2 linked regions of the Pelodiscus sinensis genome follow. The protein of the gene in region 2 interacts with the protein of the main gene of each other region in a pairwise test. Links are inferred from orthologs where the notes say so. Each region holds a gene or a part of one and is shown on either strand. Other genes may lie near its edges.

What was found. The genes of interacting proteins can lie anywhere in the genome.
Region 1: the proteins of ZFYVE19 (region 2) and VPS4B interact in binary tests that used the Homo sapiens proteins (3 or more experiments, as listed by UniProt). The two-hybrid records come from large-scale screens. The link is inferred for Pelodiscus sinensis from reciprocal best matches to the Homo sapiens genes ZFYVE19 and VPS4B.

What each region holds. Positions count from the first base shown.
Region 1 is NC_134712.1:117,746,379-117,753,568, reverse strand, and holds the start of VPS4B (vacuolar protein sorting-associated protein 4B), read right to left. Parts: upstream 3,083-7,190; 5' UTR 2,936-3,082; coding exon 2,912-2,935; intron 1-2,911.
Region 2 is NC_134714.1:63,499,437-63,506,826, reverse strand, and holds the start of ZFYVE19 (abscission/NoCut checkpoint regulator), read right to left. Parts: upstream 3,186-7,390; 5' UTR 2,884-3,185; intron 2,478-2,883; exon of another isoform or gene 2,333-2,477; 5' UTR 2,201-2,332; coding exon 2,147-2,200; intron 903-2,146; coding exon 781-902; intron 1-780. Other genes in the region: DNAJC17 (dnaJ homolog subfamily C member 17), read left to right, coding at 3,467-3,544. UniProt on the Homo sapiens protein: Key regulator of abscission step in cytokinesis: part of the cytokinesis checkpoint, a process required to delay abscission to prevent both premature resolution of intercellular chromosome bridges and accumulation of DNA damage.

The sequences.
Region 1 (7,190 bases), on a different chromosome or scaffold from region 2:
TGGGAGGGAGGAGGGCAAGTAAAGGCTGAATTCCTAACAAGCAAAGAGGAAGAGGCCTTCAAACATCAGAAAGTTGTATAAAAAGGGATTTTTTTGTTTTTTCCAGATTACTTTTTAACAGCTATTGTTATGTTTGTGTATGGACAAGAAGAACAGATAATGGATAATTTTACATTTCTATTTGGTGTTATTTAGCTCATGCCAATATAAATACAGCTATTTAACAGCTAACAGTTTGCTCAGAGTAACTATACACATGTGGTAAATGTTACTATAGTCAGGTCTCATACATAGTTTTTTTCTCTGTTAACTGTACTAGCAAAGTGATCAAATGGATCATGAAAATTCAGCAATAAGGCTGCTTCTAGGAGTTTGAACTACTGTATGGATTGGTCCTTGGTCTCGTGCATATAGCCGTATCAGGATTTGGGCTCTCTAACACATAGAAAACAAAGCTGATACACAGCAGAAGCATCTAGGGATCAGAAGGGAAGCAGCAGTAGAGTTATTGTTTGGTTGGTTTTTACTCAATTGCACTGGTGCAAAAATATTTTGATTAAATTAAACTACAAGAACTAAAAGAACTTGTTTCAAAAGGAAGACCTTTTAAACAACGAGCCACCATGTGTGAGAAAAATATTGAATTGGTTTCTCATTAAAACAATGAGCAAAATCTTCCATTCTGGGTGGCATGGGCATATGAAAAGACTAGCTGTTAAAGCAAATCACCAGCAAGCAAGGGAGCTGTGTTACCCTCTGTTCTGCTCCTGCCAAAAACCAAAAAGGGGATGTTAAAACAGTTTACTGGTTAAATGATAGCACTTAACCAGTTAACTATTTTAATCTAGGCCCTGCCACCCGGGCCTGCCATAGCTGCAGGGTTCTACCACCCAGTCACGCTGCGGCCAGGGTTGCTCTGGCTCAGCACGGCTGGCCTCCACCGGAGTTAACTGGCAAAGGAGGGTTCACAAGATAGCATACCAGTAAGCCTCATGCTTATCAGTATGCATTTTGGTTAACATCCCTCAAACAAAACTACAAAACTCTACAGAATTCATTGGCCACCTCTGAAATCCACTTAAAATAGCCTGAAAACTAGAACAAATGGCCCAGGTCTTCCCTTTTATAAACACAGGAGAATATAACAAAAACAAAATGTTAGATTGCCAGAGACTGCAGCTCATTAATTGTTTTGAGGAAAAAGGAAGGCTCTTAAGAGCTATGATAGCTCAAATAATAGTGAATCAATATATAAAAAGAATGGAAACTAGGACTAGGTATGTTAAATTGGCTACACAGTTAGCTGATGATGGATATTCCATTGCAGTTTGACTACCTGATTAGTCGATAAGGGGGATGCTCGCTATCCCCACTGCAGCTCTGCAGTTTAAATGTAGTAGGAGGAGCTGGGCGTGCAGTAGCCTGGCTCCTAGTACGTTTAAACTGCAGAGCTACAGTAGGGTTAGCTCCTGGGGGTGGTGTAAGCAAGGACTATGCAGTCCTAGCTTGTGCTGGCTTTGGAATGCTGCAGGTCTGCCCTCAACCCTATGGAGACGGTGCTGGGGTGAACCAGGTTTTAAGCTGACTTCCTGCCCTTGCTGCCTCTGACACAGAGGCAGCAGAGGCGGTGGGGGGCGGGAGAGAGAGTAGTTGATTTATCAGGTAGTCAAATACTCCCTTACATCCCTAACTAGGGCCTAGTTTACCACCAGTTGTGTCACAGTACAGCTATTTCAGTTATAAGTATGATTTTAAAAAAAGTCTTATGAGTTATATAACTGCCTTTATAACCACTATATCTGCTTTCATACTAGCTTTAACTATACCAGCACAACTACCGTGTGAAGCCAAGGAGAGAGAAAACATGGTGCAAAAGAAAAAGAAAAGTGACTATAGAGCTAATAGAGCAGAAGATACCTTAACAATTACAGATCTCACCTCCTCTAACCTCATATATAATGTAGCATGTGAGATGGATGCTTTTTTGAAGTACCAAAAAACAAGAAAGAACTAATTGAAAAGTGGGGAGGTAAATCTCCATCCTGGAATAGGATACGAGAGGGCAGAGAACATCAGTGCTTGCAGTCAGTGAACCGTGCAGCTAATGGACAGAGGGGACAAACCCCCAAGCATCCTGAAGAGCCCTGTGCTGGGCAGGAATATTTGCTTTTGACAATTTTGCCCACAAAAAGCTCATGATTATAGATATCTTTTGGTTAGTCTCTAAGGTGCCATAGGGCCACTTGTTTTTAAATTTAAGGACTAATACGACTACCCCTCTGAGATTGATTAAAAGCTTCAGCAGGTAGCCGAGTTAGGCTGCACAGGATAAACTTAAAAAACAACAAATAGTCTGGTAGCACTTTATAGACTAACACCACATGTAGATGGTATCATCAGCTTTTGTGGGTTTAGCCCACTTCTTCAGAGGACCGGAGTTTTCATCTGAAGGGGGTTGTGCCCATGAAAGCTCATGATACCATCTACATGGTTTGTTAGTCTATAAAGTGCTGCCAGACTATTTGTTGTTTTTTAAGATTCGACTGATTACATTGACTACGGTATTTCAAAAGTGCATGAACCAAGCAATAGGAAAGGCTTTCCCACAGGCTGACCAGATGAAGAGCCTCCTGCTCATCTACGTTCCCCTTGTAACACGGGGGTCGAGGGCACGTTGCTAACCACGGGTGAGGCAGCCCGGTTTCGGGTCCCCCCCCCCCCCCACAGAATGACAGTGTCACAGTCTCTCTCCCCTTCACACACAGCGAGTCTCACTCGCGCTGTTTAGCCCGTTCGAGACAGAACTCAAGGCGACAGCGCGTCCCCCGACACCGGAAGCCCCGCTCCCATCCCCCCCCCGGGCCCCGCCCCCCAGGGGAGCGCTGGGCGGGACCCCGGTCCCTCTCCCCACCTGCAGGTTGGAGGTCGCGGCCATGTCGGGGGGGCGGCGCCGCCGTGTCCGGTCCCTGGAGCTGCTCCCCGCCGCCCGGACCCCGCGCTACTTCCGTATCCAAAAGGCGGCCGGGACCCCGCTGCGCTTCCGCCCCGCGCCCGCGTGACTGCGCCGTACGTCACACGTCACGTCACGTCACGCAGCCGCTCCCCGGGCTGAGGTTGGGAAGGGCGGATGCGAAGGGAAAGGGCCTTGTGCGCAGGCGCACGAGTGTTTCCCATTCCACGGCTTGCTCCCGCCTACGCAGGGAGCGCCGAGGTGTGGCCGGGCCCGAGCCGGCCGCCTGCCTGTCAATCAGGGCTGGGCCCCGCCCGCTCTCCCTGCCGCATGTTTGCCTCGCGCTCCCCGTCTACGGAGCCTAGTACTGTAATGGCCCTGGCCCCTGGCAGTGTCCGCGCCTCCCTGTGCGCCCCCTGCAGCCTGGGCGTGGAGCCGCCTCGGCCTGGGGCGCGCGCGGCCACTCCCCTTCTGTGACCTCTCCCACCGGGCTGCCCCTAGCGGTGGGGGCGGGCGCTGCACTCAGGCTTCAGGGGCAGGAGCTGTGGGAGGCATGTCCAGAGCTGCGGGGTGAGGGGCAGGGAGGCACCGGGGAGGGGGCCTTCCTTGGAGAAAAGGGCTTGGGCGAAGAAAGGGAGTGGGGGCGTTTGGGAAAGGAGTTGGAGTGTATGAGAGTAGAGCAGGGGGGAGTGTCCCAGCCCCACACACCCCTAGGGATTGCCCTCAGGAGCATAGCCCACAGAGGGATGGATGGGACATAGGGCTGGCCACCAGAGCTGGACTGCCCCATATGCAGCATTCAGCTGCCTAGGGCACCATGGAATTTAGGGCAACCCCAAAACCGGTTAACTATCTCTGCTTCCAAGTGCCAACTCCCTGGCTCCCATTGGCAGTGAACTGTGGTCAATGGGAGCTACAGTTGCAGGCATGCAGAGATCCTCTGGGTTACCCGTCTAGGAGCTGCTGCCAGAAGGGTGTCCAGTTGCTTTTGGGAGCTTTCCAAGGGAAGTGCTGCCCCCTTACCTCCTGCTGCATCCCATCCTACTGCCTTAGCCCAGAGTCAGCACCTGGCTTGCAAACTCCCTACTGGAGCCTGTACCCTCTCCCGCACCCAAACTCCCACCCAGAGTCTGACCGCCTTCACTGCCCCCTGCCCTCTTCCCCCACCTGCTCTAGCCTAGTAAAAGTGAGTGAGGGTCGGAGGGAGTGAGCAACAGAAGGAGGGGAGATGGAAAGAGAGGGTACTGGGCCCTGGAGAAAGGGTAAGATATGGGTATGACCTCAGTGAAGAGTCAGGGGGTGAGGCAAGGATCTTTGGGCTTGTGCAATTACAAACCTAGCAACCCTGCCGGGTGGGCATATCAAAGTCCTAACTGTGCCAGAAGAGCACACCCAGCAGTGCAGCCACCAGCTTGCTTGGCATCAGCCAACACAGGCGTAACGTTGCCCAAATGTCACGCGGACCATGTCGGCAGAGGAACAGTTTGTGCATGCATAGGTGCCCACTGACTGTTCTGTCCTGGGGCACAGAGTTGCTGTCAGGGGGCCTGGTTGTGCTTATGTGGGTTTTCATGTAGGCTCATGGATCAATAACCAAATGGACCCATCTGCATGTCAACCTCCTGCAAAACTGGGAAAAGGCTAGGGTTGCCAGTTTTGGCTGGACATATTCCTGGAGGTATCATCACATAGGATACTCTTTAATTAAATATTAATCTTTTTATGTCCTGGAGATCCAGAACAATCTTGGGAAGGTGGCAATCCTAAATTAGCAGGGCTGAACAAATACACTCACCCGCTTGCCTGTGGCGAGTAGATTTTACCAGCTGGCGAGTGCAGGGGCGGACTGGCCCGGTGGGCCGTTGTGACGGGCCGGTGGAAGCCCGCACTACGGGCGGCGTAGCCCCATCCGATCTGCTGGCCGGCGGAGGAGCAGAGCGCCGCTGGGAAGAGGGAAGTGTGGCGATTCTTGCCACCGGGCTGCCTGCGTGCAGGTCCGGCGCGAGGAGGCAGGGCGGGACACTAGGACGCTGGTGTGACCTGGCCCTGCTGATTTTAAAGGGCTGCGGCAGCTTGGCTCTGGCCGTGTGTCCCTGGGAGCTGGCTGCGGCGCATGGCGCAGCCAGGGCCCGCCCCGCCGGCTCCAGTCCTGCCACGGCCCCAGCCCCTCTTTGTCTCTGCGCCGCCCGTTCCCCACGCCGACCCTGCTCACCTGCACACTGGACCCCTGCTCTCCCTCTTCCCTGTGACCCTTTGGCTCTGCGCCACCCTTACACCCTGCACCCTGTTCCTCCCGATCCCTGCCCCCCCAGGTCTGTGCTGCCCATTCCCTGCACTGCCCCTAGAACCCAATCCTCTGCCCCTACTGTTGCCCGCGTCCCATTCTCTGTGCCTACCCTGCACCCTGCTCCCTCTGATCTCTGCCCCCCCAACTCTGTGCTGCCCGTTCCCTGCACTGCCCCTAGACCCCGATCCCTCTGCCCCTCCCGTTCCCTGCGTCCCATTACCCATGCCTCCACCACACCCTGTTCCCCCCGATCCCTGCGTCCCACTGGCTCTGTGCCTCTGGGGGAGGGGAAGGGGCTGGGCTGGGCTGGATCACCTTCTACATTGGTGGTCTCCAACCTTTTGAACCACAACATCACTTTTTCAATTTAAGTGCAATGTAAAAACTACCTCAATCCCAAATACCCTTGCTCCACTTCCTTCCTGCCTCTTCTCTGAGACCCCACCTCTGCTCCACCCCTTCCTGAGGCCTCACCCTACTCACTCCATCCTCCTTCCTCCCCCATCATCATTCACTTTCACCTGGCTGGGGTAGGGGGTTGGGGTGCAGGCTCTGGTCTTGGGCCAAAGGGTTTGGATTGTGAGAAGGGATCCGGGCTTAGCCCAGGAGGGATTTCAGCATGCAAATGCTGGGAAGGAGTTTGGGTGCAGGGAGACTCATGTCTGGGGCAGGAGGTTGGATGTAGGAGGAGGTTCAGGGCTGGGACGGGTTCAGGAAGCAGGCTCTGGCTGGGCACCACTTAACTGAGATGGCTTCCGGGAAGTGGAGCAGTGGGGTTCAGGCAGGTTTACTCCTTCCCTGGCCCTGCACCACTCCTGAAAGCAGCTGGCATGTACAGCAATGGCTCCATGGTGCCATGTGCTGCCCCTCATCTACAGGCACTGAGCCCACAGCTTCTACTGACCATCGTTCCTTCTTATTGATCAATGGGAGCTGCAGGAGTGGTGTCTGCAGGGAAGGACAGAGCCCCTGCTCTCTCAGGGGCTGCAGGGACATGACAGACACTTCCAGGAGCAGCAGTTACTGTAGGAATAATGACTCGAGCCATGACAGGTTAGGCATTTTAGAACTCAAAGAATTACATTTAAGCGTAAGAGAGAGATGAAAATTATGAAATGCACAGACCAGTCAAAAACCAAAAATAACACTGCAAGCAGTAAAAGAAGTAACAACAACCCCCCACATATGTGCTGGGCCGGGAGATGAGAGTGAAGGACAGTGTGTGTTTGGGAGAATAACAGACACACACGCACACTGTGTGAGAGTGACAGAGATTTGCATTGCCAAGCTCCCTCCATCCCCTTCTCTCTGAGTGGAGATAGGGTACCGGAATGGAGGGAATAGGGACACCCTGACATCAGCACCTACTCTTCTCCCTTCCATGCCCTGCACAGCAAGCAGGAGGTTCCCAGGGGTTCAGCTCTAAGGCAGAGGGCAGGAGCAGCATGACAGTGGGTGGAGAGGCAACTGAAGTGCCAGCACTTGATAGCTTCCTGGCCAAACCAGTCAGGATCACCTGTCAGAGGCTCCAAGATCTACTGGTAGATCCCGATCTACTGGTTGATGACCACTGTTTTACGACAAAGGATAAATGGGCACAAATCAGACATCAGGAATGGTAACACACATAAACCTGTAGGGGAACATTTTAACCTGCCTGGGCACTTAGGGTGCATCTAGACTACATTCCTCTTTCGAAAGAGGAACGTAAATGAAATAAAAAATGCAAATGAAGTGCAGATTTACAGATCTCGCACTTCATTTGCATAATCACATCCGATTGCGTTTTCAAAAAAGTTTTTTTTAAAGCAGTCTAGACGTAGTTCTTTCGAACCCCCTCCCTTTTTAAAGAACCCTTATTCCTGAAAAAATGAGGTTTACAGGGTTCTTCCAAAAAAGGTTTTTTTTCAAAAGAACTGTGTCTAGACTGCTTTTTTTTCGGAAAAACCTTTT
Region 2 (7,390 bases):
GCATAGCTTCTCTCTTTCAAATCTATACAAACTGTGATGGCCATTGCCACGGCACTTGGCATTCTAGTACCTGGCCAAAATTCACTTGGTTTAAAATGTGTCATTAGTATTCTATAATAAGAGGAACACAAACTCCACTGTAGCTTGCAGATACAAAAAAGCAGGAAATGGAAAGCTTCTCGAGCTCACAATCAGTGATAAGCCTTGGGAAAGAGATGTGCCTTACTACTTTTTCAGAATATAAAATGATATGTGTTTTAAACATTGTAATACAATAATTATATATAATATTGCACAATTATACAATACAATATATAATTATAATATTTTGTAGCATTGTGAGTTACAGGTCTGTAATACCTGTTTATATGCTACAAATATGATCATCTTAACTGTGCTTAACTATTGGTCTGAATAGTGGGCTTTTTCTGTTACAACAAAAATCAATCCCACGGTATGCAACCTTAGGTCTTTAGCTTATATATAGCATCTAGGCCTTTGAAACAATGAAGGTGGGTTCTTTCTTGATTGGAAGTTTTGCTATTAAAACAAACATCTTATCACTAGGCTGCTCAGCTGCTAAGCATTAGTATGGACAGTTGGAACTGAAACCCACATGGTACCAGCTTAAAAAAAAAAAGAGAAAAAGATTATTTGGGATTCCAGTATGCAGATGGTGTGCATGTGGCAGTGTACAGTGGATTTATAGAGGGAAGTGGATCAGCAATCTGCTCTGTATCACTGGAAGCTGAAACACATTGGCCCAACTTGCCATCTTACCTGGTTAGCTCTCCATGACATTGCTTGCACACCTTCTGCTGAGTATTCCCGCAACGGGGAACAATGGCACTAAACCCAAGGCAGCTTGAGCAGAATGCCCGTCCACAGTTCTTGCATCCACACTGAGAAGAAAGAAATAAAGAAGTGAAAAACTTAAAAAACAACAAATAGTCTACTGGTAGCACCTTAACGACTAACAAAACATGTAGATAGTATCATGAGCTTTTGTGGGCGCAACCCACTTCTTCAGAAGACAGGAAATGGAAGTGCAAGTGTCTCATTGCCTGGTTGTAACAATTCTGTGAAATATACCAGAGAGATTCAGGGATATGCACCAGGTCGGAGAAACTTCCACAAAATATTTCAGAGAAATGTCTTTAAAAGAAAAATGAAATATTTGTATGAATAAGAATAGTAGTTGCAGCTACTGTAGCTAGAATACCTAACATACGAGTTTTCAGTGTTTAAGACACAAGCTGATCACCACTAGAGTCAGCAATGCCATTTCCTCCCACAGTAGAGTAAAGGGTTCACTCTTTCCTTTGAAGGATTTGGAGACTATCAGATTACATGGACCACAAGTCTGCACTATTATAGCAATTCCTACATGTTTTAAATACAGAGAGATTACAATGTCTGTCATTAATATGCAATTAAGGAAAACAATGACAGAGACGCACATAAAAAATGTACTTAGAGTCAAACAAGCTTAGCAGGTTTTAACTGTAAAATGTAAAGCAGAGTGGGAGGTGGGGTTAGGAATGTTAAATATCAGTTAAGTGAATAGTCGAGTAACCTCACAAATTCTTATCGGTTACTCGACTATTCTATAGTCACCAGGAGAGGAGCTGGCACTCCACTCCCGAGGAGCCCCATGCCACTCCGTACTGCTGCCTCTGTATCAGAGGCAGCTGCATGGAGTGCCAGGCAGGGAGCCAATTTAAAACCAGATCCCCTCACAGGACCTGGCATGAACTGGAACTGCGCTGGGCTGCCTGCCCGCCAGGCTCTTAATACACTGTAAGTGAAGATCTGCAGCAGGGGGCTGGTCCCTAACCCAGCGTGACCCAGGACTGAAACAGGCTGCTGGCCAGCCTGCTAAAAAATGTACTGGCAAGGTGGGGTGGAGGTGGGGAGGGAAATGCGTGTAGTCTCCAGCATTAACCTATAAGCTTTTGCTTATCGGTTAATCAACTACACTATTACATCCGTAGGTGGGATTACGATTTCTGATATGAGGAACCTCAAATTGTTGGCATTTCAGATTACATTGAGCAAGCACTACCATAAGAAAACTTACTCTACTGCCTAACTGTCTTTTTAGAGAGTCAGATATTTTATCCAGCAGTGTTGAAGAGAGACTTGCCTCTTTTCTGAAGACAGTAAACTTGGATGCACAGCCATAACACCTTCTATCCATAGCGCCAATGGGCAATGCAGGCTCACTCTCTCACAGCTGTACAAAAGGAAGTAGTTTATCCCCTGAAGCTGTTTATTTGTCCAGATAGAGCTGTGCTGGAATATTCTTCTCCTTCAGAAGAGGAATGGAAGACTATTGGGGGAAATGATGAATTATGGTGTATCAGTGGTTGTTTACTTCCTGAACGACTGATTGTAGAAATGATGGTCCCAGATTCTTTCATCAGAGAGAGGAGGAGAAGGGATCAGATCCTTGCTTAACATTTACAAACAAAAACCTTTAATGAAAGCATTGATAATAATAAATAACATTATAATTTGCTGATCTCCTAAATGACTACGTTCTATGTTTACAGCTAAGATGAGATCACCAAAGTGCTCTCCCTCTCCTCCAAATCTCAGCCAGTCTAGCTCGCCTTCTTCTATAAAGCCTATCGGCAATAACATCTACAGCCCGTTGTACTGTACATGTTTGCGTACTTAGGATGCAACCTCTCCAAAGCAGAGATTTAATTCCTGCTTTAACATACTGTGCCATAACACTATTATGTATTTAGCAAACCAGAGGTGCTCCGCGCCATACGCGCACATACACACAAAGATGACAAAAATCCCTGCTCCTAGTCAGAAGCTCCCAGTCCGAACCAGGTGCCATGCAAAGCTGCAATGCTACTATGCACATACTGTAACAACCGGAATCCCAGCGAGAGTCTGGACTCAGAGTCGGTGCAAACCCCGCACAGCCCAGTGTACGGTCCCCAAGCCACGAGGCTCTGCATGTGCCAGCATCCGTCAAGCCCCTCGCCCCGTCGACTCTTGCAGTAGGATCTGATACTCCAGCTGCAGCGCCCGGCAAGGAAACTTTGCTGCCCTTATCCCACTAGCACCCGAGGTAGGCAAGAACAAAGCCATGGCAGCGCACGGCCCGATGGGAGTTGTAGTCCTTACATCCCAGCTATCCCATCCGCAGGGCTATACGGCTTGAAACAAAAAACTAAACTTCCCAAGACAATGCGCATGTCCTGCTGAGCAGAGCCTGCCGGGAGCGGTGATTTTGCCGGTAGGCCAGAGAGGGAACTTCCGGGTGGGCGGTAGACCGCGCGCGGCATTGTGGTAGTTGTAGTTCCGCTTCCTCCTAGGGCTGTAAGAATAGAGGTGAATGTGAGGCTGGAGAGACTACATTTCCCAGCAGCCAGTGGTGCGGGATAGTGGTCAGGCCCAGCGGCGCAGGGGAACCGGTCGGCCGGACAGTGGGGGCGGCGCGGAGATGGCGGTCGATAAGGAGCTGTTGCAGCTGGATCTCTACGCCTTGCTGGGGGTTGGGGAGAAGGCGTCGGAGAAGGAGGTCAGGCCTGGCCGGAGGGGGATGGGACGTCGGGCTCCCGCGGCCCCTGCAGCGCGTGTGGGGCCGCCCAGGGCCTGACCCCACGGGGGTGGCGGCGTGTCCCGCGCGCTCCCTGCCGCCGGTGCGGGAAAGCGCGTGTGGGGCTGCCCCGCCGGGGGTAGAAAAGCGGCAGCCTGTGCAGCGAGTCGTGCGCCAGCTTGAGCCCCCAGCAGCGATGCGGGGCCCGTGTTGGGCGGGGGGAGTGAAACCCCAGAGCGCGGCAAAGCCTTAAGTAACTTGGGTCCCCCTCCGCTGATGCTAGAGACGCCGCGTGGAACTGGGGGAGATGTGGAGATCTTGAGGCACAGAGGCACCGTTGGGGTGCGCCGTAGGGCAAGAGTTACTGGGGTAGATGGTGACCAGTGATAGGAAGGGCGAAGAGGAGGCAGGTGTGATGCATGTAACTTACTTCAGAGCCCTTAGGAACATCTAGTTTGTTGTAATTGTCTGTATGATGTCCATTAAAATCCCATAAATGTTTGCAAGCTTCTATTCACAATACCTGGGCCACTGGCTTTTACTGTATCTGTATCAACCACTGTCTCATCTGAACAGCGCTCTTTTTTCCCCCCAGCAAAGCCACAGTAGTTGGTTCCATTATCGTGGAGCTCATCTGAGTGCTCATCAGAAGGCAGACTTATGTTAAGGATGGATCCAGTGACTTTGCTTTAACAGCCTGTGATTAAAATGTCCTAAAACAAAGATAAAGAATAGAGAAAAAATGGGATTAAAACAAAAGACACTATGCATAATGTATCCAGTCAAATTTGCAAGACATGAACTCAATAGCTACATTTGGGCACAATTTGCCATTCCACATAAAAATTCCTCTAAGTTCTGGGAAGAAGCGAGGGCTGCTTTGTTTCTAGATCTTTGCATTTTGGTGCTGCCTGTGGACCTGCCTGGTCTATATTAGAATAATAGAATCATAGAATAATAGGACTGGAAGGGACCTCGAGAGGTCATCGAGTCCAGCCCCCCGCCCTCAAGGCAGGACCAAGCTCCGTCTACACCATCCCTGACAGATGTCTATCTAACCTGTTCTTAAATATCTCCAGAGAGGGAGAGTCCACCACCTCCCTTGGCAATTTATTCCAATATTTGACCACCCTGACAGTTAGGAATTTTTTCCTAATGTCCAATCTAAACCTCCCCTGCTGCACTTTAAGCCCATTACTCCTTGTCCTGTCCTCAGTAACCAAGAGGAACAAATTTTCTCCTTCCTCCTTGTGACACCCTTTTAGATATTTGAAACCCGCTATCATGTCCCCCCTTAATCTTCTTTTTTCCAAACTAAACAAGCCCAGTTCATAGGTCATGTTCTCTAAACCTTTAATCATTCTTGTCACTCTTCTCTGTACCCTTTCCAATTTCTCCACATCTTTCTTGAAATGTGGCGCCCAGAACTGGACACAGTACTCCAGCTGAGGCCTAACTAGTGCAGAGTAGAGCGGCAGAATGACTTCACGAGTTTTGCTTACAACACACCTGTTGATACAACCTAGAATCATATTTGCTTTTTTTGCAACAGCATCACACTGTTGACTCATATTCAACTTGTGGTCCACTATGACCCCAAGATCCCTTTCCGCCATGCTCCTTCCTAGACAGTCGCTTCCCATCTTGTATGTATGGAACTGATTGTTCCTTCCTAAGTGGAGCACTTTGCATTTCTCTTTATTAAACCTCATCCTGTTTACCTCTGACCATTTCTCTAACTTGCTAAGGTCATTTTGAATTATGTCCCTATCCTCCAAAGAAGTTGCAACCCCACCCAGTTTGGTATCATCTGCAAACTTAATAAGCATACTCTCTATCCCAATATCTACATCATTGATGAAGATATTGAACAGTACGGGTCCCAAAACAGACCCTTGCGGAACTCCACTTGTTATCCCTTTCCAGCAGGATTTAGCACCGTTAACAACAACACTCTGACTACGGTTATCCAGCCAATTATGCACCCACCTTATCGTGGCCCTATCTAAGTTATATTTGCCTAGTTTATCAATAAGAATATCATGCAAGACTGTATCAAATGCCTTACTAAAGTCTAGGTATATGACATCCACCGCTTCTCCCTTATCCACAAGATTCGTTATCCTATCAAAGAAAGCTATCCGATTAGACCAACATTAAGTCTTTATTGATGACTGTGTAACTTTATTTCTCAGTTTAGCCCAGTATTCCTTGTTGTCATGACTGGGCAATCAAAATAACAGGACTCTGTCACACATAACATTTCTTTACCTATTTGTAGACAGTTGCTATGCCTCTATTTGCCCCTTACTCTAGATAGAATATTATTCTGTCATTTTCAAAACTCTTGTAATCATTATTCACCAGTGAATTCTCTTTATTTGCCTCTCTTGAAATGGTTGCATTTCTCCTAGCTGAAGCCTAACTAATACTGTGTTTCACTGTTTATGTAGAAAGGGCCCCTGACTTGCTAGGTACTTTATAGATATAGACTAAAACAAATCCCTGTCCTGAAAAAGTGCAATATAAATCAATAACACAAACACAGGGAATGGAGAAAGGAAACCACGGATTTGGGGGATGGGAGTGAGAGAAGGGCAGAGAGGTGGGAGAAAAGACTATAGAGACTAGGATATGGAACTCTGATTTGGAGCATTCTGTCATATGTTGGTTCCTGGAATTTTAAAATTACGTTTTTAGAAAATGTTTATGGAGAGGTTAGCAGATTGTTAATTGTGTGTATAATCTTGCTTGTTTTCTTTGAGATTTTGCTATTAATTCCCAGTATAACCATTATTGTTTTGGTCAGTGTTGCATTGTGATTCTTAATCATGTTGCTGTATTTGATAGAACAGAAAATATTTGCTTGCTTGCTGACCTCCTTCTGTACTCTAGTCACTGTGCAGTATTTTCTGTTTTGTCTTGTCTTGAACATGTGGGGTCAAATCATGTCCCTGTTGGAGTTAATTGGAAAATTCTCATTGGCTTCAGTGGAGCTGCAATTCACTCATATTTATTTACAGTTCTTTAAATAGATACCATCAACTTGAAATCTAGTCTGTTTAATAAAAGAGTTTAAAAAGTACTAAAACTAGTTTCCTGTACTAAGTCTGCATGAGTCTCTTCAACAACTTTGGGGATTTGCAGTTCCATTTTCCTCCTCCTCCTCTCCCCCCAGCCCTACTTTCTCCTTTATTGTTTTAAAGACCCTCTCAAATAATAGAGGAATCTGACTATAGAAAAGTAAGTGACATTAACTAAATACAGAGTTAACATTAACTTTGTTCAATTGATAAATAATCTTTTACTCTAATTTTCAGTAGGGATATTAAAATGCATTTAAGTAAACATGGGCTGGCAGTTGACTCCTCGAGAGCCAATATGCACTGGAAGCTGATACAGAACCAGCAAAATATGGGGGGGGGGAGGTGGAAGGTGGCTCCCCAGGAGTTGGTACATGTGAGAAGCTGGCTTTTAAGCCAGATACTCATGCATACCAGGAGCCTGCGTGTAACTGTTAAGGTTAAGTGATGAGCCCAGGCTCATCCGTTATCCATGTGCATGGTTACACTTTCACATTCCTAAATTCTCAGTTACAGTAACATTGGTAGGTAAATTTTAGATACAAGTATGATGTTTAAGTTGAAAGGGTCCTTTCAATTAGGTAGAAGTAAAAACTAGCACTAAAATAAGCAGGCATAGCCCATTGTCTTTAGTAGGGATATAATAGAATAACTGTTTAAACTGTTGACCGATAAGCATGAGCTTACCAGTTACTGTGAACAGTTACACGCAGGCTTCAGCCCCGTGCTGGGGGAGCCGGCTGCC